2 linked regions of the Styela clava genome follow. The protein of the gene in region 2 interacts with the protein of the main gene of each other region in a pairwise test. Links are inferred from orthologs where the notes say so. Each region holds a gene or a part of one and is shown on either strand. Other genes may lie near its edges.

The links.
Region 1: the proteins of ribosome biogenesis protein BRX1 homolog (region 2) and putative rRNA-processing protein EBP2 interact in binary tests that used the Drosophila melanogaster proteins (3 or more experiments, as listed by UniProt). The link is inferred for Styela clava from reciprocal best matches to the Drosophila melanogaster genes CG11583 and CG1542.

Annotation. Positions count from the first base shown.
Region 1 is NC_135259.1:3,402,470-3,419,215, forward strand, and holds putative rRNA-processing protein EBP2, read right to left. Parts: upstream 7,186-16,746; 5' UTR 7,097-7,185; coding exon 6,992-7,096; intron 6,809-6,991; coding exon 6,725-6,808; intron 6,621-6,724; coding exon 6,533-6,620; intron 5,856-6,532; coding exon 5,626-5,855; intron 5,401-5,625; coding exon 5,235-5,400; intron 4,549-5,234; coding exon 4,461-4,548; intron 4,160-4,460; coding exon 4,045-4,159; intron 3,657-4,044; coding exon 3,585-3,656; 3' UTR 3,168-3,584; downstream 1-3,167. UniProt on the Drosophila melanogaster protein: Required for the processing of the 27S pre-rRNA.
Region 2 is NC_135250.1:7,876,458-7,893,098, forward strand, and holds ribosome biogenesis protein BRX1 homolog, read right to left. Parts: upstream 6,136-16,641; 5' UTR 6,066-6,135; coding exon 5,922-6,065; intron 5,778-5,921; coding exon 5,666-5,777; intron 3,783-5,665; coding exon 3,618-3,782; intron 3,538-3,617; coding exon 3,464-3,537; intron 3,046-3,463; coding exon 2,859-3,045; intron 2,288-2,858; coding exon 2,193-2,287; intron 2,119-2,192; coding exon 1,969-2,118; 3' UTR 1,785-1,968; downstream 1-1,784. Other genes in the region: SWI/SNF-related matrix-associated actin-dependent regulator of chromatin subfamily D member 1-like, read left to right, coding at 39-206, 512-712; complement receptor type 1-like, read left to right, coding at 12,595-12,658, 13,769-13,854, 15,775-15,858. UniProt on the Drosophila melanogaster protein: Required for biogenesis of the 60S ribosomal subunit.

The sequences.
Region 1 (16,746 bases), on a different chromosome or scaffold from region 2:
TAATATCTCTTATAAAGATGATGAATAGAATATCCTTCAATTGAATTTACCAAATACCGTTCACGAACTTCCAACTTTCACCAAAAAATAATCGACTAGCGGAAATCAAACCAATTTTCCAATATATATTTCAGGATATATCCATAGCGTATGGAATTTTAATGATATCAAATTTGAATAGAAATACAGTTAAAGGTTAATCCCAAGCTTTCTTTCATATCACGGATTGAAAATTTCTATATGTGGATGTCATTATCATCAGTTTAATTGGCATCGATTATCAGAATTTGATTAGGCCATTTCCACGGAATTCAATGTAGTATTTTTTTTATGTGTCGCTAACTAGGACGACTATTGTTAACTTTTTTCAAAGAATCGGATGTACATTATGAGTATAGTGTATATAGCAAAAGATTTCACCGTGGCATGTAAAATTTGAGAAACAGTCATATATATATATACAGTGATGGGATCCAGCCGGTTCGCACCGGTTCTATAGAAGCGCCTCACGGAATTTTATGAGATCAGCGAACCGGTTAGAATTACTGGTTACTGTCAATTTTCTGTTTGTAACAGAACTGGCTCAAAAAATATGACTTCTGTGAAGGAACCGGCTGACAAAAAAATTGAATCTACCACTGTATATATATACAATTATAAGTCATCATTTTAATGAATAAGCACAAGTCACCCACGGATATTAGCACTCATGAACATTCGTACCGATGGACATTTACACCCACTCATTGTACCCCTGAACATATATCGCCACGTACAATTGCATCCACGCCACGGCCATTCGTACCATGTGACCACAAGATAGTGCTTTCTTGTAGCCATTTTGATGATTGTTTTCGTGATATGTTTTAAAAATCTTGCAGGCCTGCGAAAATACGAAGAAGCATTGAAAACTATTCGAGAAGTGACGTTCTCTGAATTTGTGGGCGGTGCAATTAAGTCATGAGCGACGAAAAGTGTAAAGACCTAATTCAACACAAGCAGTACAGGATGAGTCAAAGACGATAACAAGTTTTGCAAATTTAATTCTGCTACGAATCGAACACAAGTTGGTCTACAGACTCAGAAAACTCACTATATAGTCTTAACAAACGTACATCGTTAAAAATTTTATGCCTACCTTTAACCTATCTTGGATAATCTGATTTAGTTTTTATCGTAAAATACCATTTTATATATATCAATGAGACTATTTGGGTACACGTTTAATGCGCGTAGGATACCAGTAGTGGCGTACCAAGAATTTCTGAAGGGAGAGGGGCATTTATAATTGAAAAATGTGTGACGATATAATATTCTGTATTGTACATATTGCAAAAATTCATTACGACGTCATATTGTTGTTTTAGAAATGCATTATGACGTTTAAGGAACGTTTAACTTTTCACGAAATTTATTATGACATCATAATTGGATTTCTACATTTTTGTTCATTATACAGAATTGCAGTTATCAGGAACATTGCTTTCTACGCAAGTCGATTTGGAAATTGAAAACAAGTAAGGAGTTTAAAGCTGTATTAAGTCGTCATGTAACCAAAAACATGACGGCATAATACACAATTTTGGAAATAGAGTTTAGCTGTGACTCGTACGAGCTTGAACAAGCGACGATCACGTGGGTTTATATGATCACGTGATATGAGGCGTTTTACAAGATCACAGAGCATCGCGTGATATTTATCAATTTAAACATACACTGACTTGATTTCAGCCATGTGTGGCTGTTGAAAACGATATTCCTGTCTGATCAAACATGATGTCGTTCAAATGAATTATTAATATTTTACTTGGTGCCCACTCCGGTAATAATAATCTTCTCCTCGCCCAAACACTATAACAGACATTAGTTCTCGGGAAAATGGATCAAACGAGTTTATAAATGTGAAAATTAGAGTCATGCCCAACACATTTTTTGAATTTATTCCTCCTATAAATATTCGATATTTGTCGTTATGCAATATTTTCGTTGTGTTTCCGAGACCGACAATATTCGACAGACCAAGTAAATGAACATAAACTTCAGGCATCAGATAAAGATATTTGATAAATCTTTTTTCCAATCTTTGTCAGAAATAGTAAAAAAGTCAGATTTTAGAGTTATTTCGGATGTATACCTAAATATGTGACATCATAGCATCTCAGTCTTTAGGATTTTTTCACATCTTTGAGAAAAAACTATCAACATCTCTCCGAAGCACAAATGTGTGTAGTGCTAGTTATTGAATTTTTTAATCTCTAAATAGGTGTTTTCTAATTTAAAAGCAAAAGACCCGTCGCCCGCGACTAGGAAAGTGTATTATGACGTCATGTTTTAGGTTACAGGACGACTTAATGCTGCTTTGGTCTACTTCATTGTTTTCAATTTCCAAATAGACTTGCGTAGTGAGCAATGTTCCTTATTGTTACATCGAGAATCGCATTCACTTGATTTTTTGTATTGACTTAAACATTGCGTCCGTTTAACTTGTGTACTAATTACTTATCGATCTTAAGATCGGTAAGTATATTGATAGGTATTTGTATGTATGTCTGTGTGTGTGTGTGTCTGTTAGATGAACGCGATATCTCACGAACGCGTAATTGAATCTGCTCCAAATTTTGCATGTGCATGCACCTTACCTCGGACCAGACGCCTATCAATTAATGGGTATAATAATAATGGGTTAATTATGTCGTATAATTAGCGAGTTATTAACTATTTACCGATCTAAGATCGATAAGTCTTCGGTCTCCGACCGATATTCTCGTTTATTTGTTATTGTTGACGCCGTAATTTCTCATGATTGACAGTGTCCTTCCACACACTTTGTTACGAAACAATTGAGAGGGTCTTCGTGGCAATTGCTTGCCCAGACATGTCTCGCTTAGACAGGGATAGTTTCGGTAATTTGTTTTAGATAGCGCTTTATTTTTGCAGAGAATGGCGCTCGTTTCGTTGTAGTTTGTAAATAAGTTAAAATTGTTCAGCAACCTTGGCTTACTGGTTTGACTGTAGGACGATCAAATAATGTAGATTATGGCTGCCCCACATAGGCCTAGTTTAAGGATATTTTATGAGCATTAGATTGCCTTTGTGCTTGTTTTTACAGTCGTTCATTCAAACAGAAAATTTGCAACCAACAACCAGAAAATGCATAAATACAAAACTCCAAGAGCTGATATTCTATATTAGAAATTCATCACAAGCAGTTTTTGATTTTCTCCATCCAAGACTTTCCTAACAATTGATCAGTCAATATTTTGTAAATTGTACAACCACAAGTCACCATAAGAAAATAACAAAATCGATTGAAAATGGACTATGTGACAACACACATTGTAAATGACAAATATGATTGCAAATAAGTTGATTATCGTTACAATTGTCGTCTGTACAGAAATTCTCCTATTTATTCCATACAACAGCTTTTTACAGCTGAAACTGTTTTTTTAGCTATAGGTGGGATGATTTGTACACGCTTCTTCACCTCAGTCGCAACGTTTTTTCAATCGTCATACTTCACTAGTTATTATTGAACAAATTTATTCGCTAGGTTACAGCATATCACTTCTTCGCAATTGTTATCATTTGTTCCTATTTTTCATCTGTTGTCTTTTACCTTTACCAGGTCGTTTGTTGTTAAAATTCTTTTTACCCTATAAAATAAACATTGTTAGGTAGCTGAATTTTGGTATTGTTCTATTGTTCTAATTAACACTACTAATAATAAAAAAAAAACTTAAAAAAATAAATCTAATCTATAAACTTTTTTCATTTATCCACTTCATACTCGTTATTCTATCATCACACAAAATATAATTAAGGGATGCCAATGTCCCTATAGTTCGCTGTTACAGAAGTATACTTTAAAATTAATTGCATAGCATAATGATTTCACACTGAAAATAGCAAATTTTACATAAAAAATAGCCAATTTCACATCCTACTGGACGGAATTTTTTTTAATTTCAAACTGAAATCAGTGATAATACGTAGCCTTCTACAAATGAAAAAAAGCAGAATAAAAGCAAAAAAAGAACTCACTCTGGGTTGTTTGAACCCTGAAACATCATTCACACTTTTCACAGTATTTGATTTCATTCCTTTCTTCTTACCACCAAAACCAAATTTTTTATTACGAAAGGTTCTGCTTTTCTTTCTGCAATGAAACAACATTATCTTTAAATTTTATAAGCAAAATTCAACAAACCCTGTATTTTGAACATCAAGCACCGCAATTTCATTTATACCAAAGCCTGGAGGAATTCACACAGGAAAATGACAATTGGACTTAGCATCCAGGTAACAAAGATTACCGTGAAAACAATCATGAATGAAAATCATGGCCTCCTAAACAGCCTGTGAAATAAAACTGAATTTTGTGAAAAAAATAGGATTCATATTTATAAAAATACTTATACTTCTTCTTTATCATGTCATATAGATATTAGATACCTTACCTTTGTTGTTCGACTTTTTGTAGTTGAGATTTCTTGCCAGGTTTTACTTCCCTCTCATCATCCAGAAAATCCATGCTGTCTGTTTTCCCTGAAAATAGTTTAATATAGCTAAGCATTGGGTGATGGCCACAAGTATTTCTCAAAAAAGCTCAAGTGACAATATGTTATTAGTGCGTCATGTCATAACATGGGCCTTACAATATAATATAGTCCACTTTAAGGCTACTCAACTGGCAGACCGCAGTCCGAACCTTTCGAGTATTTGATTCAAGCCGCACCTAATTCTTTATTTTGCATCATTAGCCCCACTTTTGAAGTTCCCTTTTATGAAATGACTTTTATAGTTTTGAATATATATGTAAAGAACTATAACACCATAATAAACAATCTTGATTAGCTAATAATCATTAGTGTGCGAATAAGGATGCCGAATATAATTTCTGGAAAGACCAGACCCAAATGATTTTGAAGTTTTGTATGCGGATCTTCGATGAAAATAGTTGAGTAGTCCTGATCTACTTAACGGGAATGGAATGAACCAGACTACAATTATATGCTTGTGATTCCAAGTTTTCAATGATAACAAAATTAAGAATAATGCCTAGAAGTCAGTTTTTTCATTAAAATTTGTTGCAATGCAACAAAATAATCCATGCCATTGAATATTAAAAAAGCAACATGGAAATTTGTGAGCAAATACTGAAAGAGAACTCTGGCTGGAATTAGGTTATTCATATGCACATATTCCTTTTTATAACATTGTTTATTTCAAACCTTTTCGAAATTTTTTCACACTGTCTAAAATTTCCCTTTTCTTTTTCTTTCGCTCTAGTTCAACAGCTTGCTGCACTTTCTTTCCATATTTCTTTAACTTCAGTTGATTTCTATATTTTTCTGCAGATTCTTTACGTCGTTGTAAACTCAGAAGTTTTTGACGAACCTGGATGTAAAAAATATCACTACATGACAAATGGTAACATTATTAACAGGCCATCAATCACAATTTAATTTGACAGTCAAGTAGTCTAAATATGTCAAAAAGCTGAAAAGATACGATTATCTTGTAAGTGTGCTAATATTTTTGGGATGAAAATTTCTTTTTAAAAAGTATTTTTCCCATGTGTCAAATGCACAAAAGCAAAAAGTACATATCACAATGCTGTACCTTTTTCATGTGATCATCTTTTTTAGCCATCTCAGCAAAATAATCCTCTGGTCTTACAGTGGAAATATTAGCAATTTTCAGTAGAGGAATTGCCTTTAATACAGCATCTTTTGCTTGTGTTAGAAACATGAGTTCCCGTTTAAAGTCATTGTGAACAGTAAATAGTCTGCTTTGTGCCTGTGCCTGAGCTTCAGCAGCACTTAATCCCTCTTCAAACATTTCATCAGTTTCTGTAATAAATGCAGGATTTACATATTTATCTTGGATTTCTGGGGATGAGAGATGGTGATAAGACGGCGTAATCATATGGCATACCACGGCCGTGTCCTGTATGAGATCAGTTATTCGTTCAGATGCATCGACTTGATGGCAGAGGAAGCCATAACCAACCAAGCAGTTACGCTAACCCCCTATGGCGGTGAGGAGTCCAGCAATTCTTTTGCACATAATTAATCCTCACAGAATTAAAAAATGAAAACCCACGTAGGGTAATCAGAGGTGCAGGGGTCAACGATGCACCACACCACTGAGCAACAAGGAATGAATATTGGCAATACATAACTAGAAAGTTTAACAAGCTGTTGTTATATTGTTGATCTTGGTACAAATAAATATACCATATTTTGACTTCACCAATATTGCTTAACACTGTTAATGAGTACAATAATAAATGAGTGGAGGTGCAGCAAAGCAATGAAGAGTATAGGAAATTTCATCTGTATTGGGACTATCTTTTGCCATTTTGGTAGTAATATTTCAAATTATCATTATCAATAGATCTGTAGTTCTTAAAGCAAGAGCCAAAACATTTTAATTAATACTTTTTAGCAGTGACGAATTGGGTATTCCTAGAATCCCAGTTTCGAAAAAGTTTGTAGGATACAATAGTTTAGCGCTAAGCACATACTTGATCTTCTTTCTACTGTTATATCAAGCCTCTCTAACCAATCCATATCTTTCTGTTCAATTTCTTCTAATTTCTCCAGAATCCCATCCTAGAATAAAAGTAATAACTCCAGAATTATTGGAAAATTTAGTCATTTCAATCAAATGAAAACATTGCTGATGTCAAAATTTAATACTGAATTCGTTAACTTACCACATTATTGACAGCTGGCCGCTCAGGTTTCGCTTCTGAATATAAGCCTGGTTTAAGCAAACCACTTTTGTAGGCAACTTGTAACTAGAAATGTAAATATAAAATGGATTTGATTGTTATAATATAAGTCCAACAGATTTCGACATCACAATGGCATATTATTTGTCATAATACAATCGTAATTAATAATATGATCGTAATTATCGAATTATAAATTTCAGTCTTTTGCGACATATTTTAATTAAAAAACTTATTAGATATATTCACCTCTCTGTCTGAATCATCAGAATCATCTTCTGCCAATCTTGGATGATGCAATTCATCTTCTTCACTTTCTTCCTCACTTGATGGATAATTTTCCTCTTCTGACATCTTATTTCAGTATTTATATGAATTTGAAGAGATGAAAAGTAATCACACGATTTATTTTAAACAACCTGATAATAAACGGAACGTATAATAAGTTGTGATAAGATGGCTTAATCATATGGTGAACCACGGCCTCTCGTCAGGTTCAGGTCGTGTAAGGAATTAGTTAGCCAATAATTTGTTCCAAATGCATGAACTTGATTCTCTCACACATAGTTATTTCCACAGGACTCAAACTCGCAAACCCATGCAGAGTAATCAGAGATGCGTTGGTGAGTGTATTCCAAGCGCTCAGAACATTGGTTCCTAAAGACGAAGTGAGGTCTGCAAAGCAACTTTGACTGTGACACAGAATTATAGATCTTTAGTAAAAAGCACTCATCAAAAAAACCATCCCCCACCACGTTTTAAAAAAAAATTAGTAATTATCCAGTTAGGGTTAGGAATACAGATTGCGCTGGGAACCGTACGGCACACTATACAGATCGAGCAACATTGTGTCGTTTCGGGATACCCATTTTACAGATGATTAGACGACCCTCCTTCGGGGAACGTCTGAACATGGTTGTCCCTCAATATCGGTAAAACTACAGTAAATTGAAGTTGCGCAAAAAAGTGCAATCTAAAATCGTCATCATTGAATTCCTCGGGAAAAATAATGCGATTTACCAAAGGAAAATTTTTTCTATAGTGGCATTTGAGAGTTATGAACAAAAAACTGCAATTTTGGTCACGTGACGGCTGCGATTCATTTAGATTATTATCAAGACAAGCATGGTGCAATATGACGTATCTGCCGTTGTGCCAGACGACCCTCGTTTGTGAGACACCTGGAGTGTTTGTTTTATTGAACCAAATGACTGGACATTCTTGGAATTTGGATAGTGTGCCGTACGCGGAAATTCAAATTTGCAAATCATTCCTTACTCGAACCCTAACTGGATAATTGATAATTTTTTTACTTAAAGCATGGCGTTTTTTTCTCAAATCTCACATTTTTTGCATTAGTGAAGGGGGCTTTCTACAAAAGATCAAGAAGCACAACTGGGAATGTATCAAGTACAGGCTACGAAGCTCACATTCGTAAATATATATATATGTGTTACAGTCATGTATAAAGGTTTAAATGTTTGAAAATACGCATTCAAAACATCCAATATCAATAAAATTCAAAAATTTACACGCACACAGTCCTATAACGTCAGCAGTCTTCGCTAGTGTTACAACAGACAGCCCCAGTTTCGTCTGTAGACTGTATTTATACAACATGCTGACATGAGCAAAAGTTAACACTGAGCCAAATCCCTTCTAGAGAATATTAATGTGTTTTTCTCGACGTTGGAGCCTTGAAAAGATCGAAATTACACTCCTATCTGCCTATACCGGTAGTCTTTAAACTGTAAAACTTCGCCGTAGAAAATGCGAAAATACGGACAATTCTGCAATTCACCAGACCTCTCTTGTAGTCGAGTTGTCCGTGTACAGTAACTAACAGTTGTTCGCCTCCCGACTTGTAGTACAGTACAGCAGTACCGGTAGTCGGCTGGAAACCTAAGCCTGGATCTCATTTGCATTACGCTCTGCCACATCCCTGCATTACTCCCATAAAATTGACATTATACAGCTATATGACTACAGTTATACAGTTATATGATAACCAAATACCGCATCCATCAAGTTTAGCCACTTCTGCTACGGTTGTTTCTTGCAGAAGCACGAAAGGGATATGGGCGCCGCCATTTTGTAATCATGCACGCCATCTCGCGGAGATCTGTAAATAATGGTGCAGCAACTACCGATGGACAACGATCGGGATAATAACTACCGGTACGCGAAAGTAAATGGCACATAACTAAAGTTCTTGCAAACAAGGCTAGGCCTCACAGCCAACTGAGTAGCCTACGACAACTCAAAAATTTTCCTCGAGAGACATATTCAAAAGTCAAAGAAGAGTACATTATATAAAAATAATATCAGCAGTGATTTATACTACTGAAGTATACACTCAATAAACAAATGGACAAGCTCGGTAAGAAGGTTTAACTTTCAATCACAAAATTCCAAGCTACATACATTATTTATTCATCCATGAGACAACATTAGTTTATTTAGAGAAAGTATTTATCTCGGCATTGGGACTGTATCAATATCAATTGATCTACAAGACTTGGTATAATTTTTTAGAGTTTAAAAAGTATTGATTAGAAACACAAAGCAAGTCCGCTATCAACTAATAGCGAGAAGAGGCCGTTTATCTTTCAGTTTCGCAGCGCACATAAGGGAACTACCTGAAACTGATTTTAGGAAGTTCCCTAGAAAGTTAGTAACAAATAATGACTTGTTTCCATTTCCGAAAGTTGCACGTTTTACGGAAAAGGCGCTGTTTCTGTAATGCGCGTTTGTGTGAAGGACGGGAAAATAATCAATTTTACTGATGTCAGTTTGTCTAAATTCATTCGAGTCGACAAGAACCTGGGAAGCAATGATAAGTTATGCCGGAGTTGAACGAAAAGTAGCATTAGAAGCGATTGAGAGGTGTGAAATCAAGTTGTAGACAGACAGTAGATGTTTTAAAATATAGTCTATTAGGCATTTCAGACTGTGATATATCGAGATTCAGTGTAGATGTAGTCTAGTATGCAAACACTGCAGGACTGTAGTGCATCAGATAAAATGCATTATGTATGAAAAGTATCAGTCAGTATTTAGCGGTATTTTTACATGCTGTTCCAAATATGATTTTCTTCCTCATTTTAGATACTGTACAACAAACGAAAACGGCAATGTTCCACCAATCCAACCTAACGCAGGCTCTAATCCGGGCTGCTATCAGCGCTATACCTGTAAGAATAAAATGAACCGAACAAGAAGTCTTGAAGAAAAGCGTAAAGGTATATGAGAAGATGACAGTTGCAAACAGCTTAGATGGGCTATTCATATTGAAAACTTTGGCACATTTCTGCAATTGAAACTGCCCATCAAACTGATGTTGGAGAACTTCATTGAGTTTTTCAATTCATGTTTTCCTCAACTATGAAGATCCTATGAGATAGACGAGTCATTAATACATAAAGATGAGTAATTTGTTTGTTCACTGTAAGAAGAGAATATGAAAAATGTAAATGATACCAAGTCTTTTGAAAATTGGCAAAAATATGGATTATACTTTTCCTCCCAACAATGATTCACTGAAGAAGCATGTCCTGAGGGCAAAGTACCAGGCAGGACTTCATCATTGTTGCCTAGAATTGATGGATCTACTTCCAGCCCCCAAATCGATTCTTGAGATGGCAAATTGCAAGGGTAAGAAAAATTGATGTCAAAATAATTTATTCATGTGTGCCAAAAACAACCTAAATTGCACAGATTTTTGCATTGACTGCAAAAACCACAGTACATTTATAGAGGAAAGTCGATTTTCGAGAATGAGGATTTCGGAAGCAATTCAGAGGAAAGTGAATTAGATATTGAAGTTAATAAATATTTTTCATTATTTTTTTTCTTCAGATATCTGTTAGTGTCGTAGGTCCTGTTTCTATAAATAATATCGCCTTTGTTTCAAATGCACAACCACCAAACTGAAAAAAAAAACTAATTGTAATATTGATGTTCACTATGTTATGTACATACTGTATTCATTTGATTTTCTTGACTTTTCCGGTAGATTTCTCTGAGTAATAACCGATTTATTTGTGTTTTTGTGCTCACGATGTTAATTTGTGACTTTATTGCTTAAAAATGAATACGTTTGATAGCTTAACTATAAAATAAATGCAACTTCTTATGCTGTTCTTTGTTGTAAACTGCTGTCTGAGGAAGTCTGATTTTGTTAGACAAAACGTTACAGAAATACATTTGTGTTAGTGTGCAGCAGGGTTCTTGAATTGCATAGCTCCTATGCTGTGTTGCTGTAAACCTATGGTCATTGATTATCTGGGAATCCCCTTATGTTCAATTTTGCATCAGGATTGTGGAGCAAGCTGGAATGCGTTCAGTATGTTCATTTTCATACAAAACTTTATTTATTTAATTACCAGGTGTGCGCTACAAAACTAATTTTCTGGTCGTTTTCAAGGCCTCTTCTCATGTCCTATATTCATGGTATGGATATACAAGTGTTTAATAACTTACTTATACTTTTTAACACCGGCTTAGTATAACTTAACTAATACAGAAGATCAATGCTCAAATATATGGACACGCAAAACAATTACCCAAAAATCCTATGCGGTGACTTAACAGTACCTGTATCGGGATACCGTGACGGTACAGGAACAGTCATAGTTTTTTTTCGGTCCTGTGACAATGATCCAATCTTCTTGATTATATTGAAACAATAATTAAAATATCTCGTGATATGAGTTAATTATGTATTACCGGATAGGTACCGAACCACAGTCAAACATTTCACATAAAAAACGTTACAAAATAATATGCGTCAATTTAACAACACCTGAATCGGAGTACAAATTTTGGTACAGTGACTGTCATAGCCTTTTAGGGCTGACGGACAGCTTACTTACATAAGTATGCTTACCAGTATACTTGTCATGTCAGTCGCTTCTCCTTTGCGAGACAGATAGACCAGACCGAAATTTGCAGATCCTGTGGCGATTTCGTTTCAACATGAATTGAAAAAACCCACTTATTCGATTTATCATGGTATTATAACAGCAGATACCACAGTGTACAAATATATTGACACCAAGCGAAGCAGTACGGTACGGTTCACCGTACCTTTAGTATCACCGGTAACCTCATAAAACTTCCGAGTTTTGAGTAGCAAGAATTTTCAGAATGCGCCGTCACGCTCGGCAGGTTAAAAACAGTGTTCCCATAATATATTATACACTTAAATTTTGTATGAAATAACAGATTTTATAGAATTCATACAAAATTTAGAGATAAATAAAAGTAATAGCCTTCTGGAGAAAAATTCCATCCTCAACCACTGAAAATTTCAAAGAAATTGGTCCGGTAATGAAAGAGAAAAGCGACTTTTTCATAACGTGTCAAAAAACAAGAATAAGAACAACAAGAGAGCTATGCTCAAATATATGGACACGTAGAGTCACATAATTTTGATGACGTCATAGCGAAAAAAGAAGTAATAGCCTTCTGGAGAAAATTTTTATCTTTAACCACTAAAAATTTCAAAGCAATTGGTCCAGTATTCGAAGAGAAAAGCGACTTTTTAAAAACGTGTCAAGCGGTACTGAGTTAGCAGTCAGGCAGCATCTTACCTGTACACTGTAGGCCATATACGGTAATTGATCACAGAACAGTTGTTCCCTTGCAAATTTTATGTTGTTTACACTTTAGGACAGATAATTGATCACAGAACAATTCTTCCCTTTCAAATTTTATGTTGTTTCCAGTAGACTCTCATCAAAATAAACAAATATAGTAGGCTACAAGTGCTACAACGCTTGCATTACTGCACTGGTAGGACCGTGAAAGAATAAGTTACGGTAATTTCATTGTGGTAAGACACCGGTACCGGCACCAGTACCAGTATCGTACTTACGTACTGAGCTACCAGTACCGGTTAGCAGTCAGCCAGCATCTTACCTGTACACTGTAGGCCATATACGGTAATTGATCACAGAACAGTTGTTCCCTTGCAAATTTTATGTTATTTACACTTTAGGACAGATAATTGATCACAGAACAATTCTTCCCTTTCAAATTTTATGTTGTTTCCAGTAGACTCTCATCAAAATAAACAAATATAGTAGCCTAGGCTACAAGTGCTACAACGCTTGCATTACTGCACTGGTAGGACAGTGAAAGAATAAGTTACGGTAATTTCATTGTGGTAAGACACCGGTACCGGCACCAGTACCAGTATCGTACTTACGTACTGAGCTACCAGTACCGGTACCGAACCTGTAGGTCTGATATTCCGTTCCGCATACGATAGGCTATAAAACTTGCATTGCAGCATTAGTAATACCGCGGAAGGAATAAGTCAATTTCACTGCGTTACGGCACCGGTATGGCAACTTACCAGTACCGACCTACAGTAGCTGTAGTACTGAGCAAGACAATCGATCGCGAAACCGCTTGAAATAAGTGTAAAACAGTGTTCCCATGAGTAAAAATAAATACCGCGAAATTTTGTATGAAATATCATATCTCATAGGATTCATATAAAATTTAAGAATAAACAAAAGTAATAGCCTTCTAGCGAAAAAATTAATCTTCAACCACTGAAAATTTCAAAGCAATTGGTCCAGTATTCGAAGAGAAAAGCGACTTTTTAGAAACGTGTCAAAGAACAAGAACAACAACAAGAACAAGAACAACAACAACATAATATTGAAACGATCGTTATGTCCACTACGTGTCCAACAACAACCTAATATTGAAACGATCGTTATGTGCACTAACGTGTCCAAAAACTAAAAATGACGATGGAAGGGCTACAAACTGAGATTCATTCGCATGCGGACAGCTGATCAAATTTTAATTGTTACGTCATACAGAAGTCTGCGTTCATTGGCCAATGTTGCCGGAAAAGTAGAGAATATAGGGTAGATCGTAGCGCATATTTCTTGTAGTAAAAGCGTCTTTTTCGTAAAACGTGCAACTTTTGGGAATACGAACAAGGTATTAGTTGTTACTAAATTTCTAAGGAACATTTTATATTTATTTCCAAGTAGTTAGTTTCCCGTATGTGCGCTACAAAACTCATTTTCTTGGCGTTTTTCAGAGCCTCGTCTCACAGCCGATAACTTTTGGACGGTTTTGGTTACTAGACTTTACAACAGGATAAGAAGAAAGACCTGTGTCGTCATTATAAATATGTGTAAATTGTATACAGGATTATTTAAAGGTCATTTATGAATATCATAAGGAGCAATTTAGATCCAAGAAATGAGTCATTAGGAACTCCAGAATACATTGCGTGTGCCCGATGACGCTTACCATCAAGAATGACGTTGATTTTGAAATCAGAGCCATACAATTCAAGGATGACGTCAATTTGATAAGATATGCAATATAATCGAGTTTTCTGTTATGCGAGTCCGAGATTTCCAATGAATATGAAAGGTTTGAAGTGAAAGAGCCTTTTATGATTATTTGTGATTCGGTGTTACTTCTATATTACGGAAAATGTAGAATGCATCAAGAATCACTCATTCATGAAATAGAATTGATGATATTTCATGAAATGTTAGTGGAGAATAAAGAATGCATCAACAATCACTCATTCATGAAAAAGAATTGATGATCTTTCATGAAATGTTAGTGGAGAACGTAGAATGCATCAAGAATCACTCATTCATTAAATAGAAATGTTGAATTGATGATCATTCATGAAATGTTAGTGATTGTATTGAGAATACTATTGATCCAATTTCGTTAAAAATCGTTAATGGAGAATATATATATGTGTATATATACCTAAAAACCAACACAAAAACTCGTTTGTAACTGATTTGTAGGTTGTTCAACTTGATAAATAATGTTGGAGCTTAGCCATCCTCGAATTTCCATACAAGAGTAGACTTCACATTCATGTGGAACAATGCACTAAAATGTGAAATTACGTCCCCTCGCCTATTACTTTTTCTATTATTATATTGATTAGATAGATGCTTTGATGCAACAGTAATTAGTACGTACAGAAGTACGTTTAGGCATTCAATGTTCTTTATATGAGTGATATCTTTTGTTCTTGTCTTATAAATACTGTACTCACATAATTACTTCAGCTATATTATTGCTAGGGCTGGGCATTTTCGAATACCAGATCATTTCAGAATCGAATCGAATAATTTTTTCGAATCGAATCTCGAATACTGTAATAAAATTGTATATATATAACTTTCTTATTGAATAAGTCCCCCAGACACATAAATTACCGAAAACATAGAATACATTACTCAGGCAGATTGCTGAGCGTTCACACACAATAAAAAACGCGTTTTCATCAATACCTCAATACAGAAAAGAGTCATATGTCTGAATTGCGTTGAAAAAGTGTGGCTTCAATAAAAAAAATTTGAGAAATTCACCTCGACCAATGGCGGAAAAAAAAAACAAGATGGCGGACATTCGAAATTTCGCTCTGAACCGATTCCGATAATTTCATATTCGATTCGAAATGCCCAGTCCTAATTATTGTTTCGGAATTTTTAAATAAAAGTCAAGTTTGGATAGTCAACCACCCAAAGAATTTGGACGTACATTTTCATGATGACTTCGCTTTTTAAATATACAAAGTATACAAAGAAGCGGTGGCATTTGATTCAATCTGAAATGATTGCTTCACGTGGGTTTGATGCGACTCACACTTGGCCTGCACTGAAGCGACATAAATATTTCTCGCATAAATCACGAATGATCGTACGAGCATCGATAAGAAGTGCTGACTCATACCTAGCGCACAATTTGTTTGTATTATAATACGCTCAGTCATAGCTAGACGAAAATAATCTTGCGCAAGTGTTAATACCAAAATGAAAGCTTTTGCCTAAAAAGCTTCTCTGAATTGGCACTTAGATTGAAGTTCAGTATTATTGCCAACTATGCGTGACTTAGTGTGATTGGAACTGCGTATCATACAATGATATCGACGCTAGCTAAATAACCAGGTGGGACGGAAACTGGGTGTTTGAGTCACAGGAAAAACAACTTTCAGTAGGAAGCCGCCTTATTTATGAAGCTAAAGTGTTTGAATGTAGAGAATGTAAATCTACGTTGAGAATAGATAGGATTTGCAAGGACCTGAAGCCGACCACGAACAAATTGATTAACATTCAAAAATTTCAGCGTTTGTGTTTCTTGCGTGTGGCCAGTCTACTTACCCGACTAATCCCGTGCGCTGAATGTTCACGTATGCCAGACAGGCTTAGGAAATCATTCATGCCGACAGGACAGGACTCGATTAGGTGACAATACTCGTGTAATGTGCAAATACAAGAGCTCAATTCGTCGAAACGAGTTTAGTGAATCAGGATATAGTCTAACGTTTCGACGGTATTTTGTCCTACATCGTAACGCGATAATGATTAAGGCACACCATATCACAAATTGACTTCTCAAAATGACCTTTGTCGGGCCAAATATCACTCACGATTTACAGTATGAAAATTTAATATATCATCTTGGTCGTTTACAAATAAAAATGTCCCTAAGTTTATTAAAGATATCTTTATGATGTTTGCACATTTGTTGAGTGTGTCCCTACACTCAACAAATATGCAAACATCATAATAATATCCGAAGTCAATGTACGGAATATCGCAGACTAAAGCCATCCAATACATAAGTGGCCGGTGTGAATGCTCTTGATCGTTTCATTTGCTGCGGAACCGCATTGAATTTAAGCATTAAGCAATTAAACGGTCAAATTTCTGGTCTAATTAATAATCTTTGAAGTCTTTCATTAAGAGCAATGACTGGGCTCCGAGGCTGTTAGATTTAAAATTTTGAAAGCATTTTACGACTGGATCAATTGCAATTAAAATATTTATTGAATTCTTCCCCTGGGCATAATTGGATATGCACGTAATATGATTTTTTTGACGGGATCTCTAATTGCCACGATATAGTATTGCGTATATATAAAGCTCATGAGGTAACAGTTTTAGTAATTCGATTCGCCTTAAATATAAATGTTGACCGTCCACGTTAGACACGAT
Region 2 (16,641 bases):
TTATGGAAATCTGGTATTTTTATCATTTATTTTACTAGGTTGAAGTTGATGATACACTAAAGACTCAAATGAGTTCATTTCTTCTGTCATCTTCGAGTCAACAAGAAATAGCAGAATTAGAAAGAAAGATTACTGATACTGTTAGCAGCGTACAACAACATAGAATACAAAGAGAATTCTACATGGGATTTTCTGACAATCCACAGGTATGATGACATATCTGTTTAACATTTCACAATGAAAATATATAGCAATCTTGAATATAGCAACGTGAGAGAGTGATTTTCTTCATTCGAACCGCTTTCTAAATCCTATTTGCTGCATGTTTTGCATTGAGTGCATATGATTACATATACGAGCAAAGAGTATTTACTCACTTTTCTCCAGTTTGTCTAATCATAACCAATTATTTTGTGAATCTAAGAATGTCAAAAACACCAAAATTTTGATCTTTATTTAGCCAACAATTTCAGAACCTTGTTTCACAATATCAATTATCCTAATATCACAGGAATTCATTGGCGATTGGCTTGAATCTCAGTGCAGAGACTTGAAGACAATGACTGATGTTATGGGCAGTAAAGAAGAAGAAAGACATGCTGATCATTATTTTGCACATTGGTCACAAGAAGCTGTTACACGATACTTTTACACGAAGGTGCAACAACGTCGACTGGAATTAGAGCAAGTGTTGAAAAGTGCGAACGTTTGAAACTATCAATCATAGGTTTGGGATGCCTACTCTAACGATTACATCAGGAGACTTGAATCTAAATACCTAGTTATGGTTTTGTCTCAAAGATCGATTTGTTAAACCAAGGGGTTAAATTACAGTGTCACACTTTTTTCAGTCTGTTATGTTTATATGATATGAATACATCAGAAGACTGATACTTAAGTTGTGGTCATTAGACCCAATGCTGCCTTCTGTTATGTTGAACTGGGGATTTAAATGCAATGTCACACTTTTTGTCAGTCTGTTTTGTAATAAAGGATTTTCTTATTAAAGCCTCTTGCAGTAAAAAGATGTTTATCATAGACAGAATGAGTCTAGTAGAGTTGTTCATTAACAGCTAGGTCTTGTTACAATCGTCAACTAAAGAGTCTATTTGTAGCTGTATTGTAAGAGTTTGTCTTACTGTTCCAAGGTATTTAAATAAAGAGCTTGGGTACAGACTACATTTTACAAGAATGAGATCTTTGTTTACATCGCTTACCGACATTTTATAAAAAGATACCAGAACAGTTTGGGCTAACTTGCTGTATGACTGGAACAGTTTCTGTTTGCTGTAAAAGGAGTGAGTGTCTGACATTCGGTACTGAAATTTCAGTTGAACAGCTATGTGGTTTAAATGCATGTCATCCAAGATATGAGTTACATTTGTTTCTCACTGGAAACGATTGTGCTTGTTTTAAAGAGATTGGGTGGTAACTGTGATCAGAGGCAAGGTTTTAAGGTTCGGCTTTTGAAACGAAAAAAAAAAAGAATTTTTCTCTATCATACATAGCAATTTTTCATGCCTTAAATTCCCTGAAAATCCACATTTTTGGTAATTAGAAATTCCAGAAACCCTCCAAAAATCCTTGTGGTTCATGAACGTTGACACATGAAATTACATCGCTATGAAGTCTTCAAACAGCTATTGAATCAATGTTTTAAGCTCCCAAGTCTAGCCTATCAATCTAGAAGTTAAAATTGTTCCAGTAGAATTAGACCTTTGCATCAGAATCGCTAATCGTTACAGAAATCCCCACCATTATTTATCAAAAACAAAACTCTCAAATTGCCTGTACATTTTATATTGTAGAACGGCGTGATGCCATACTCAATAATATGTCACTATCATCAAAATACCATGCAGAGAGAGGCAGCAATTTTGCACACGATTCTGTGGGACCAACTAAATGCGCTGGTAGACAAACAGTGCATCCGCAAGCATACTTTCAACATAACAAAAAATATTGCCATCAGCCAGTTCCATGAGTATCAAATACCGTGTCTGTATCATCAGTAGGAAAAGTTTTCTCATATTTTGAGCGAGTCTCTTTCCGGGCTTGGACAGTCAATTGTTTACCAGTGTACCTTGCCTGGGACTTCTTTTTCAGCATTCTCCGCATCTGAAATGCAGAGAGACTTGTTTAATCCATTCTAATTTTTACAATGACAGAAACCATAATTCACACCAACTTACAACATTAGGAGATGTATAGTCCGGGTTTATATACAAGACTGGTCCTCCAAAGCTTCCACTCAGAATTTTTGCAAGAATCATTGTGAACCTTGGCCCTGTAAAAATTGATATATTATATTTGAATAAAGATTGAAGTCAGAAAATCGATATTTTGTCCTGTATAAGAACAACTTTCCAATAGGGATTAGACCTTGGGGTCTTGACATAAACATGTAAACTGCATGCAGTGTCACAGAGTGGCTCAGGGCACACTTTCACTGGAATAAGAGTCATATTTTTGACTCTGCGAAGTCATTGAGTCAGAATTACAGACTTTTTCAATGGGATGAAACACAAAATTTCAGACAAAAAATCATAAATTCGCTGAGCATTTCCATTGGTTTTTCAAAGAAGGTATACATGTGCCAAAATTCATTTAAATTCGACTCTCTTGGTAGTTCGGAAAGGTGTTAAAATTGTTTACAACCCTAAAAGAAAATTTTCCAGTCAAAATTATTTCAGATGTAAATTTTTGCCTTCAAAGCCCAGTTTCAGGCATCACCCACCTTAACTAAGTAACATAACCTTCACTGTTGTACGAACATCACAGTTCACAAGCTATAATACAGTTTTACCTCTGATCAATTTTATTTACTGCACGGCACTTAAGTCATACAAGTTTCTTACCAATTTCAACCAGGTCACCATTCTCTCCAACAATTTGGTAATTGCGAAACCAGATACGACCATCTAGCAAACTTAAAGAAATAACATGATCAACAAATGGCTGGCTTTTCGGATGATATCTTGGTGTTCCGAATATTTGCGTAAACAGTTCTTTCAATAAACGATTGTGTGGTTCATCATCAAATGTCTGAAAGAGCAGAAAAACAAATGAACAAAAAGACATTGATAACTCATAAGATTTGAATTAGAAGGACTTATACTAGGACTAAAAGTACTTGTACAAATGCAATACTTTAAAATGACTACTATTTTGTTTATATGATGTTTATTCACGACTTTGGTTCTGAACTGAAAGGCTCTCTACATGAAGATACTGATATGTAATGTGCCACTTTATTTTGGGAAGATCGGATTCTTTACGGTTCGCATTTGCCCACCCAATTTGAGGTATAGGGGATGGGATTTAAACTAGAGATTTCAACCTCCGATTCCATCATAGTTAAGTCTAATACTTGATCTGCTAGGCCACCGCTATTCAGTTAGATCGCATTATGTCTATATGGAAGTGCTATTGTAGATGAAGCAAAGTAAGGGAAATACGATACCTTATCAAAACACAAAACTGGTCTTGAACCTTTCAAACAATTTCCTGTAAATTTCAATTCTTTCATCATATTTACTGTAAAAATAAAATGATGAAATTACACAATGCTCTTTCTCTTTTCTTTTCTTTTTCCACAAAGATAAAAAAAAACTTACAATATTCAACATGAAAAAGTGCTGATGGCCCGTGTGGAACATTTGACATCCACATATAAAGATCTTTCTTCTTTTTACCAACTAAAAATATACATTTGTTGCAGTTTTTCATTTCACATATTTCATTGACAAGCTGAAGCTGTCCTTTTCTGTCCATTTTAACATCTGAAAGAAATTTATAATTTATATCCATAATAACGAGAGAGGTGGGATGAACTCAATTGCATGTTGCTAACTTCTTTCCGCATAATCAGTTAACGGGACAGCTGGTTACTATAGAAAGTATGGCGATGGTTGGTTCTACTGAAAACTGGGCAGGACTTCATAAATAAAGAACAAAGAAAAAATACGCCGAGCTGGGCTGAATAAGGTCATATAAACATGGGAAAAGAGAACAGAACAAAGTTAGTATTCGATCCTATTCATTGTTGTATGGTGCCAGTTCTTATATTTGTGGTCCTATTTTTGAAATTTGTTACAACGTTAAAAAAAAGATGATTCTTATTTTACAAATGGTCAATGTAGCGAGACACAGGAAAGTACCGTACCGTAAAAGCGCCTAACTTCGGACAGTTCCTAACTTCGGACAAAATTTTTGAACGGCCATATCTTGGCTAAAACGCGCCGTATATTGCTAATTTTAATTATTATAGGTTGCGCTGTTATATCTACATCTATTCTCATCTTTTTTAATGTTGCATAATTATTTTTTTGGTAAAAAAACGGAAATTTTGCCGAAAATTGACTGCCCGCCATTCAACGGCGCAGAGCGTCGCTCCTACTGAAGCTATCATCGTCGAAATACCATCATTCGGTAGAGGGCGACAACAATGTATATAATTTATTTGAGTGATCGCAAGATGTCGTACGAGATTTAAATAAAACCTAAAATTCTGAATTATAAATTCCGTAAGAATATTAAGATTTCACGCAGCGTCAAAAATTACGTCAACCTCACGTAGATTATTTTTCGCTCACTTCCGACACGACGTCACACTGCGTCGCGGAAATGAATTTTGACGCCAGACACAACGGAGCCAATATGACAATTTCCGTTAAGATAAAGACGGCGTTCCAATGTAATATTTTTGTATTTTGTTCGGCCATGTATGAATATATGCCAAAATTACATTAATGAAAATACATGTCACACTTAATCGATGACGTTAAAAATCGAATATATAAAACTATGGAAATTCCAACGTCCATATGGCACAGTCTCAACCATTATTTTATGATTAGTAGTCGAAATGACAGTTATTGAATACGGCCTGGGTGAATTTTATTCACTCGAAATTAAAAATAAATTTAATCTCCAACAAATAAACGGAACCTACATGTTTACAAGATTAAGTTGAATTTTAAATTAAACTTCACAATCGGATTTTCCGTGTGTTTGATATAAATTATCATTTATAAAGATAACCGCGCAGAATAAAAAAAAGCTGTCTGTCGAGAATATTAATACTTCAAAGACTTCGATAGAAGCCCGTTAAAATACTTCATTGTGGATTGAAACGGTTTGCATCAGATATATTTACGTATGCATTTCCTGATTAAAATAACTAACGTGTTATTATACTCATCTGAAGTATCGAAAATAACGAACGAAAGATGTAAACATAGGACGACGGAAGTTTCAAATAATGCATTTTCGTCGTGACGTCAATGTTACGTTACGACGACGATCGAGCGTCTTATCTTCACGCAACGACGTGATTACGTCATCCGCATCGGAAGCCTCTTTCTCTCTGTGCGTCGCGGTTGCGCAGTGAAGAAAATGACTGTCCGAAGTTAGGGCAGTGAAGGATAACGGTCAGATGGCAAGAAATATCGATTATTTCAATAGTAAAAGTAGTCCAATTGAACCGAAATTTGCAGGGAATGTAAATTACCGCACGAATGTTTTACCGAGCAATTTTGGCACCGTTTGGACAATAAATGGCCGAGTTATTGACGAAAATATAGTAATTTTGTCCGAAATTAGGCGCTTTTACGGTATATAAACTAATAAAACTGTTTGATAAGCAATTTGTAATCTTGTTTACCTGTTTTGGAGTGAGGCATTAAATTCTGTAAATCTTTAATAAAATATCGAGCTTTATAGCTTGTTCCTCTTGATGTGAATACCAAAACCCTTTGTTTGTTTCTCCATTTCCCCTGAAATAAATAAAACCAGCGATATAGAAAATTTGATTAAGCATTTTAAGCAACAATACACGATTCTTAATTTTAAAACTTTTACACAACTAACTGACCAGGACAATTTAAAATTAATAGGTTCATATTTATCGAAGTACATACCTTTTCAACTAAAGGCTTCATCTCGTTAAGTTCATTTGGTACTTCTTCTTTATCATTTTCTGTTTCTTCTGCAAGTTTTGCAATTTTTTGTTTCCGAATTTTCGCTGAAGCTGATGAATGTTTTCGTTTATGTCCCTTTTTCATTTTGTATAAATTATGTATTGCAGTACTGTACTGGACTATAATACCAAAATATGAATAGAACACAAATATATAACCTACATGCAATCTTCAACTGATTTTCACATGTAAGTGACCTACCAACAGACTCAGAATTTAGACTTGAATTTACTTTATTACAAGTAGCCTACTGATAGTATCAGTGATACACTGAAGTTTATTTCGACTTCATAATTATCATAAAAGAGTAAGACGATAACATAATTGATAAAAACAAAATAAATAAAACTGCACAATAAATCAGGAGAGCACACAAAACCTCAAGAAAAGTTTAAAACGTAGTACCGGTTCTGATATTATATTGAAAGGCGTTTTCAAAAGAACTCTAATACCGTACCAGAATACAGTACGGTACCGGTAATATTTATCTGTATATCCCATCCCCAAAAAACAGTACACAACACATGTGCTTTGAACTTTAACCTCATCTGTACGACCTTTAACCCTAATAAAACGTATGTTTTCGCGAACATCACCTCTGTTTGTTTTTTTTCTTGGAACGATTAAATCCTGAGAATCGTTATGCTATTTTTTGTTACTGAGAAAAAATAAGTTTACTCTTTAAATAGTGGACAGATTGATTTTTCAGTATCGAATTATTGAAGAAATCACTCGAGGGCTATTACTTTGCGTCTTTTGACCACAATATGCGGAAACTATTTTCCCTATTCTTATACTCAATTTTATTCTAATTCTGAATAATTCAAATTATTCGGTATAGTAAGTACTGTTCGCGTTCGACCTTTTGTGTTTGTGCAACTCGATTATTTTATTGGTAGGTGGCGCGTACTACCGACGCGTTTCCCGAAAATAAGACTGGGTCTTATTTCAATTTTCTTCTCTCGAAAAATAACACTAGGTTTTTTTTTCATGGGGTGTCTTATATTTTCATTTATCGAAAACTAGATTACAAGGTAGGGAGTTACAAGATTGTCAAATATACAAAATATGAAAACCGATATCCATTCACTTATAAAAAACACGTTTTTATTCAAAATAACTGCAAAACATAGATTATCAATCATTTAAAACAGGGGTTCTCAACCTGGAGTTCGCAAACCCCCAGGGGTTCACGAGAAGATTTCCAGGGGTACTTGAATGGCAGCTTTCATGTGTTGCTATTTTTTATGTCCTTTACTATCAGAGGAAAATGCGTGCCGATTGGAACTCGCGTGGATTTTTCCTGATCTTGCGTTGTTTTTACTCAACAATATGAAATCCACAGCTTTGCAGCAAAACTGTGAAATCTCAAAGTGCAATATTTGCAATAAACAGGGACATCCTTCACACCAATGTTCTGTATAAATGAAATGAATAATTTTGTTTAATATCATTTAAAACAGTGGTTTCGTTTCTGACGGACCGGTAAAATTAAACAAAATTTACTTGCGGATCGGCAAAAAAATTGAAATGAATTGAATAGAAAAAATAATAACATATATTTGCAAAATGTAATGCAATGTCGGGCACTCACTATGCTTCTAGGTAACAAAAGACACACTTGAAAACATTTCGCATGAATAAAAACAAATAATGCGCTGGCCAAAAATTGAAATGATTGGATCAAACTTTGTCCAAAAGAAGACCCATTGTCATCCTTCTTGTTACAAAATATCAAAATGCTTTGTCGGTCAACTGATCTCATATTGAGCCCTCTGCAGTTATTCAACGCCTCAAACAAAATTTACATTAAGATGACAACGTCGTCGGTAACTTGGCACCAGGTTCCCTGCCCTGCTGTGCATCACCTAGAAAAGATCTCAACGGCCCATGCTTTTGTTGCACGTCTTGTGACCAGCTCATATTTTACTGGATGTCAAGACGAAGCCCTGGAATATTATATTGCCCTGTTTCCTGGTTTGAACAAAGTATTCATAACCTTTTAATTGGATGTTCATATTAAGCAGAAAAAGAATGTAGAACAAAAAAACACTTGTGCCGATCTTTGGGTTTTTGAATCTTGCGAGATTTGACGGACGCTTTCGCGATGAATCGGAACCGAAAAAGCAAAAAGTATGATTACTCGGCGCCATGACGTCGTCGGGCCATTAATACCGCAAACATCAATATGTCGGCGGAAGAGAAATTGTTTGTAATAAACAAACGCAACGTCGTTATTTCGGGTTCGGTAAAGCGATTGAGATGGCAGAAAAACAACAAGATTTCTCGCAGACCGAAAAAAAGCGTCCGGTGCCGGCCCGCGGACCAGCGGTTGGTAACCACTGCTTTAAAACACAATTTAAAAATTGTTAGTCAATATATTACAACTTTGTTTAGTGTCTGATTATACTGGGGGTTTGTGTTGAATATTTCATGACTCGGGGGTAGTTAACAGGAAAAAAGTTGAGAACCACTGATTTAAAACGTGTAGGAGAGATTTCTTGTTATCGACTGGGTCAAAATACTATTTCGCGTTATTGACTAGGTCTTATTTTCGGGGAAACACGGTAGCACGTTTTAAGTTATGCCGAAATGGAAGACATTGTCATTCGACGAGGCACGACGAATTTAGATATCTGAATCAGAATCACATCCTTTTTTATTGAATGCGGCCTATTTACTTATTTTTCCATTTTCCACAGGATGCACAAAATGTCAAGTACAAATAAGAAGTTGTACATGGTAACTATGAGTTACGTGGACCACGTAAATGTTTCATTGAGTAAATCTGGCATTAAATCATTTTGAAAAATTTTCTAGCATATTATTAAACAAGAGTACAATGATCAAATATATGAACACAAAGCTTCGATAGCAAGAAATCTTTCCTACTCGTATTAAAGGAATAATATTCTATGTTTAGCAGTTATTTTAAATGAAGTCGTTTTATTTATAAGTAAATGGATATCGGTTTTCATATTTTGTATGTTTGAAAATCTCGTAATTTGCTACATTGTAATTTTGTTTTTGATAAATGAAAATAAAAGACATCGGCCCAAAATAAGCTCTAGTGTTATTTTTCGGAAGATAATTGAATTAAGACCCAGTCTTTTTTTCGGGAAACGCGATAACACCATTTAGGCTTTCAACTTATTCAGGTTATCTTGGAGATGATTCGAGCTTGCTTGTATTATACATTCACTTGTTTAGTAGTTTACGGTTTTAATGAAGATGATGAGGTTTTAGTTATGTTTCTTTATTTATTTTGTTATCAATGGTCTACATGCGAAAAAGGGATATAAAAAATTTAAATCCGGATATCTCAAGTTGCATCATTGTCATTTAACAATAGAAATACCTAATCAATATTCAAGAGCGCAATGCTAAAACATATGGACACGAAAACCAAAATGAAGTATTACGAGTATGAAATGTTTTACTACAGCACCCGACTTCGATTGACCCCCAGATCGCAACGATCGCGAACCAAAAACTTCCACGAGGGGCGCGTTTTTCAACTTTGTGACTTCATCACATAAAACAAACGAATCCCATAGAGTCCATAGAAATTTTTGAAATAAATAAAACTAATACCAATACCGTTACTTTAGTTATATTTACGTGGTATTTTAAAAATCGACATACGTGTCGAGTTGCGCCCCTTCGTCTCGTATTTTTTTATCGTGACGGGCTTCGATTTTTTAACATAAGATGCAAGAGAATTCGTTTGTTATTTTCAAGCATACCGAGATAGTGCTATCAAGCATTTTATCAATAACTTGACGCCAACAAGCATATAAACAGTATACGTAGGTTCAAAACAGAATGCCGTTAAAAACAGTAGTTATCCACCTAGTATCTGCGGTAATAAAAATAACCATGATTAGCAAACAACACAATAATTATGGCGATATCAAATCTAGGTGTGGGAATCAGTAAAAAGTGCAATTTAGTAAAATTTAAATTACGTTCCAGTTTAGGAATGGTAAACGAGAATATATAATTGGTATAGATTTGGCGACAAACGATAAGAAATTCCTGGTCAAATATGAAATTTATAAATCTCTTTCGAAGTTTTTGGGATATTTATTTCAAGCTAGAAAAACGCGATACTAAAAAATATTTCTCGAAATTTACCCGATCAATAACGGAAGAAAATAAATTTATGACAAAAAAATAAGATTGTTGAGTTGGAATAGAAGTCAAAAGTTAGCGTGTCTGGTAATAACAATGAACAAGCTATATTTTTGTCCAAATATTTTGGCGGTAAAATGTGTGATCGATAATATTTTCGTTAAACACTTTTGCCAAATTAATACGCATGTAAAAAAAATTGATGTATCGTTTTTCGTGCCTGGTCATGCTTTGACGCATTCAAGTTCTTGTTTACACAGAAAAGTAATTAATCGACTCCGGTCTTTGATTGTAAATTGCATGGAATACGCATATTTATTTAGTTGGGCGTATAAAAGTACCGAAAGTGAGGACAGGCTATTAGATATTAGAATACTTCTCCGCGCGTGCGATAATATCTGGAAGCATTTTTAGACCACAAATATGGCTGTCTTATTCTGTAACATTACTGTGACAAAGCACAGTTGCCGAAAGCGCGCGTGTTAACGGTGCCCTGAAAAGGTGGGTTTTAAGCAACATGTAATTACGGTTTAGTCGACAAATAGAATAATGATGACATAGTTTATTAAAATCACTTTTACCAATATAAAAATTATTACAAAGTGATTAAGGAATGTGTCTCAGACGTATTTGTAACCGGCAGTCGGGATGAAACCCTGTCAGAAAGTCATGTTTTGCTGATTGCAACTACGATAAGCTTTCCACGAGTTTTCTCTCTAGCCTGTGACGTAAAACTTATTATCACCACAATGCGGTTGTCCAAACATAAAAATATATTTCATAAATTTAAAAATTTGTTTTCAATTAGCCCAAGCTAGATCAATTTTGGGTAGATGATATAAATATATTTGAAAAATTAGTAATGATGAACGTTTTGTAATCTGACGTTTATACATACAAAATTAGCCTTGGGCAAGGTGGCTTTCATCTCGCCTTTTCACCTTCCCGTACGTTATTATGCAGTTTAGAAAATTTCCCCAGCGCATCCAATGTGGTGAGCTGTTTCTCCCTATAACTTAATATCAATTACGAAGAAAAATTGGGTACTGAAAGGTTGATTGTAAATAGCTGCTAGATATAATAATCTAAAAATTGTATATATTGAAATATATATTAGCAGTATGGTAAAACTAAAAATATAAGATATATATACTTGGTAAATGTGTCAGGTATATAATGCTTCACTCACTTTTGTTCGGCATAATATTGCAGGGAATGGAAAAAGCACGCTTTGTTATTAGATCGTTAATAAGTAATAATATGGCAGCTATTTATTTCACGGCCAAACTTCTGATGTCGAAATTTTGCTCCTTTGCTGTTCCGTTTATAAGTTAATGCAAAAGTTAGTCAATCTAACGCCTAGACAGTGTGGAGCGATATGAGTCCATAAATCCTAACTGCAAACAAAAAATATTAGTAAAATCATTTTTGGCGAAATATTCTTAAAATTGAAAAAATTGTGTCAAGCGCCGTCATATGTATTACCAGTCAAGTACGTAATCGAGGCGTCACATTTGTGCCTAATAATTGCAAGAAATTTTAGAAAAGGCAATTCGGAGATAAAAATCATAATTTGCTGTTGTGAGGCTTCGATAACTTACACGTGATTTGAATAACGTGAATATATGCTTAAATAGACGTTTGGTGGAAATTATCAACGATGTAAGAATTCTTATACGAGATGGTCGCATGCTGTAATGCTTATATATCAAATATCTGATACAGCAGGCTACAACCACCGGAATGCAACCTGAAAGTGAGATTAAACACATAATTAATATTGAAATGAATAGAACATGCACAAACTAGCTGCAGGCGCATGAAGTTATGCACATTTCCTACGTAATCAGTTGTAGCTTACAACATGTGTCTTTTTTTAAATTAAAACATGGCAAAGGTAAGCGATCAACATTTTAGAAAAACAAAACGAATCGTAGGTTTTACTCGGATTTGAGAACTAGTGACTTCGAATAAATTCTATTCATTTGAAATCAAGTACTGTCACGTGACTTCATAATTCGATGGTCATTGACGCCTCATTATACGTAAAATTGCGTACTCGCGTTATAAAAGTACAAGCGAAATTTTGTGTATCCTTATTTATAGCTAATATTTCGTGAGGGCAGATAGTTTCATGTCTCTGAGCAGTTAGATACTATAGTTCTGAGCAGTTCTACTCAGTTTCAGGATTTGACCTTAAACGTTTACCTCTGAGCGGAATATTAGGTCATATATATAATGCAAGGAATTTAATCAATATAATAATATTTTATTTTATGTAACGCATCAAATGTTACAATGTCATTGCACCAATGTATGTCAATATATATATCTTTTTTCGTTTATTTAAACCTTGCCCATTCGGATAGGAAATATGAAGGTTTAAAATCCTTTGCTTTTTAACGTTTCGCTTTCTGCTTTACAGATAACTATTTAAAGCATTACTCATCTAACTCATGTACAATAAATATAATAAATAATGTTAAAACGACATATGATCAAAATCATATCAATTCTGTATGTGGTGATTCCTTATTGCATAGGTAAGTGAAGTTTTTTTTTTCTACTAATTGTTTATAGAAAAATAGTCATTATGTTGAATGCGTTATTTACCAGAAGGTCTCGAATATTAAAATGAAAATCCAGTCAAAAAACATGTATATATTTGCTTGAATGTAAAAACTTGATGATTCTCATGATTTGATACAAGTGGAACCAGAATGAAATATATATATGACTGCAAAGCATACACTTCTTATAGTATGTTTTACATAATTTGCTAGAATATTAAATACAGTTTTAAATTTTATAGTTTTTACTGCAGTTATTACGTATGTAAATGCAAGACTTACATTGAATATTAAACACGGTGGTGAAATAAATGCTTGAACAATTCTATAAATTAAATAAATATCAATTAACCTGAATATGTTAATGGAATTATTACGTCAATAATTTGACCCTTATCACGTGACCTTCGACTTCATTTCCCGTTTCTTATACGCGATCTCTTTATATTCAAAATGACATTTAAGTAAGGTGACAGTTTGAGTGTTTATAATGGCCGTCACATTGTACTAATTATATGTTGTTAGTGTTGTAAAAACAAATAGTAGAAATGGATCATTTTTTAAGATGACAATGTGCCTGTTTAGAGTTACGTGGTATTAAAGGTATTTGCCTCCATAACATTACTAAAGTACAACTGTATGTGGCGGGCAAAACTGTTTTACAATAACAAACCTTTTGCCACAGATAGGAATCTGTACTTCCTCCGGATAGTTTAGCGTGGTTTTGGTTTTAAATTCCTTGTGGTTATGCATATTTTAAATTCTAGAATTACCATACTAGAATACCACTTTGAGGGAGGATTTGCCATTTTTATCAAATGTAGAATATTGGTAAATACACAAAAGCAATCTCGGAAAAAATAAACAAAGAAAACAATCGAACCGGAAAAATTTGGGATAAAACTGCTGGAACATAATTGTTGAAACTTTCTGCTAGAGACATTTATGGTCGTGGGCTGTATCCAAAATATTCCAGATTAGTACTGAAGGTTAAATAATTGAGTTTTGACTATAACTTCTAGAAAGGTTTCAAACATATGCAAATCCTAATGAACGATTTATGCAACTTTTCATTTGCTGCAGCTACTACTTGTTTAATATGTTCGTCGTCAATATCAAATGAAGATTGTAACGCGAAAGGAGTTGTTCGGCGATGTAGACCTTATGAAGTAAGTTTTTATATCCGTCAGAGTAACAAAAAAATATTTCTGGCAAGGGTTGTTGCAAAGTGAAACTGTTAGCAAGCTTGCACGCTTCTATGTGTTTATATATACTCATCGCCCATGGCAAAATATAACATGAAAGAGTTCTTGAAAAGCGCATTGGCCTTTGAAGAAGGTCACATATTTGAAAGCAATTAATAAAACCAAATTTTTTAGTAAGAATCCCATAATATACTATCATTGGCTAAGACCGTTTATGGATGCGTTCAATTTCTGTTTTTTTTTTAATGAAACCAAAGCAATCATAAATTAGGAATCATTATTTTGGTAGATCAATTTCAATTATCTGTGGAGCAGATTTATGGTGGATAACAAAACGATTGATTACAAAATGTATTAAACGTATTATATATATCAGTGTTTCAAATTTAATTCTTTTCGGTGGTAAATAACTGAGAATTTAACACAGAATTTCGATACCAAAGCAATCATAAATTAGGAATCATTATTTTGGTAGATCAATTTCAATTATCTGTGGAGCAGATTTATGGTGGATAACGAAACGATTGATTACAAAATGTATTAAACGTATTATATATATCAGTGTTTCAAATTTAATTCTTTTCGGTGGTAAATAACTGAGAATTTAACACAGAATTTTGATAAAATTTGATATTACAATTTACGTTCATCTGATAAGCAATACTTAGACAAAAAGTCGTTACTGTCAAATTGAAAAAATCTTTCATGATGAATTAAATAAAACTTCACAATACGAAGATCGATATATACCTAAAAATAGTGGTACAAGGTGAATGTGCCTGGATGTAGTTTACAGTATTGAGAATGAATATGTCAATGCCCAAATTTATGATACGAATAAAATTATTGTTTTGACGACCGATTTATGACCATTGTAAACTTGCTTATCGTTTCTTGAATGCGAATAGGTTTAATTCCTGAGCAAATTAGCGACATATCTTGGGAAATCAGCTACAGAACTCATTTAGGGAGAAAACAAATCTGATAAAATAGAAGAGGGGACAAATTGAGACAATGTAGTTTATTCACATGTAATTTAAAACGTTCAAATACGTAATTGATAGCATAATACGCATTTGCATGATAATGTTATTTTTCAAATAACTGGCATTTCAAGAAATGACAAAAAGTCGGGCGTTATAAGTGTATTTTGCTTTGTTATCGACACAAATACGACTTACATAAGTGGGTAATTGGTATTTGTCGTGACGCATTTGTAGACATAATACATGTAGTGTTTTAGATAGATAACCAACAAATCAAAAAAATATATTGATGCTACAGAATTTGTAGCATCATAAATTTGTACTCATATTGATATCGTCAAATAATTAAATTAACAGTAAGTGATCTTTGCATTAATTCTAGTTGCGATGGAACAAGATTTAATTAATAATGCCGTAAATGAGTTATTGTGAGGCCAGTGTTTTTATAAAGGCCGATTTACACATTTCGGCACAAACAAGGCCATGTTCAAGCTTCCACTGATACCTAACAATACAAAAATGCTACTAAAGTTGAAATTATTCAATTTAAGAGAGGTGGTGGGCATGGGATTTGAACCTGAGATGTGTAACCTGCGACGTCAACGATGTTAAATCTAACGCTTTATCCGTAAATGTTCTGTTATTGTTTTGGATTTCGATAATCCCGAATGCAGATTCTTTTCAGGCATCAGATTGAGAATTCGAGTTCAGTATTTAAACGTTGAAAAATTCTTGTATCATTCTGGAATACTTTTTAATATTTCATAATAGGATTTCGTTTCGCACCTATAAGAAATAACTACCCAATGTGATCCTGCGAAATGAGATTTAGTGCAATTATAAATCAGTCACGCCATATATTTTTATACTGCAATTTTACAACTTATAATTTGCACAGGTATGCGGAAATAAAGTGACAAGGACTTCTACAAGAATGCTAATAACGAAAAGATGTACTATCAGGCGGTCTTGTTCTGACAGCGTAAGTTGATAAACAGTCAAAAGTGTCTTGAGATGTAACGTGACAAAACTTAATCTAATTATTCAGAATCCATATCGTCACGCTAATAACCAAATTGCGTAAGTCATTTTTAGCAGTTTTGAGAAAAACGTAAAAAACTTCCTAATGATATTGTTATGCCATTGAGAGTCAATAATTTGCCAAGGTTCAATTTTTTGATCGTAGCCGGATTCAAGTTAATTTGTATGACGCAGGTAAGTGACGTCATAATGGCGCACTGTGACTTAGGCAGAAATGTGTCTATGACTTGGGGACATACGCAATTTTGCAACTTTACTATATGCACCAGTCTTGAAAACTGAACATTTCAAAAACGAATGTAATTCTCAGTATCTACAATGTCTAATCCCCAAAATAGCTAATCAGTTTCAATTTCATTATTTTTTATGTTTAAAAATATATATTTCATCAATATAACACGTTCTGCACACCCACCGGAATAAGACTAAGATTAAATATAAAGAATAAAACAGCAATGCACCCAATATAAAAGCCAACCAAAGTGAATTGGACTCAGACAGTGAATATCACAAGTGCAATATCACAAGTCTTCCTAAACTGCAGTATAAATTCAAATTAATACGCGCTAAGCTAGAATCCCAGATGCAAAAACTCGAAAATACTTCGCCGAGGTTATTTTGCCTTTGTGACGTCACAATAGTCCTGGAATAACAATGATAATTCATTATGACGAAATAATTGCACAAATGTGCATGTCATACAAAATCTCCATTTTCATGGGTT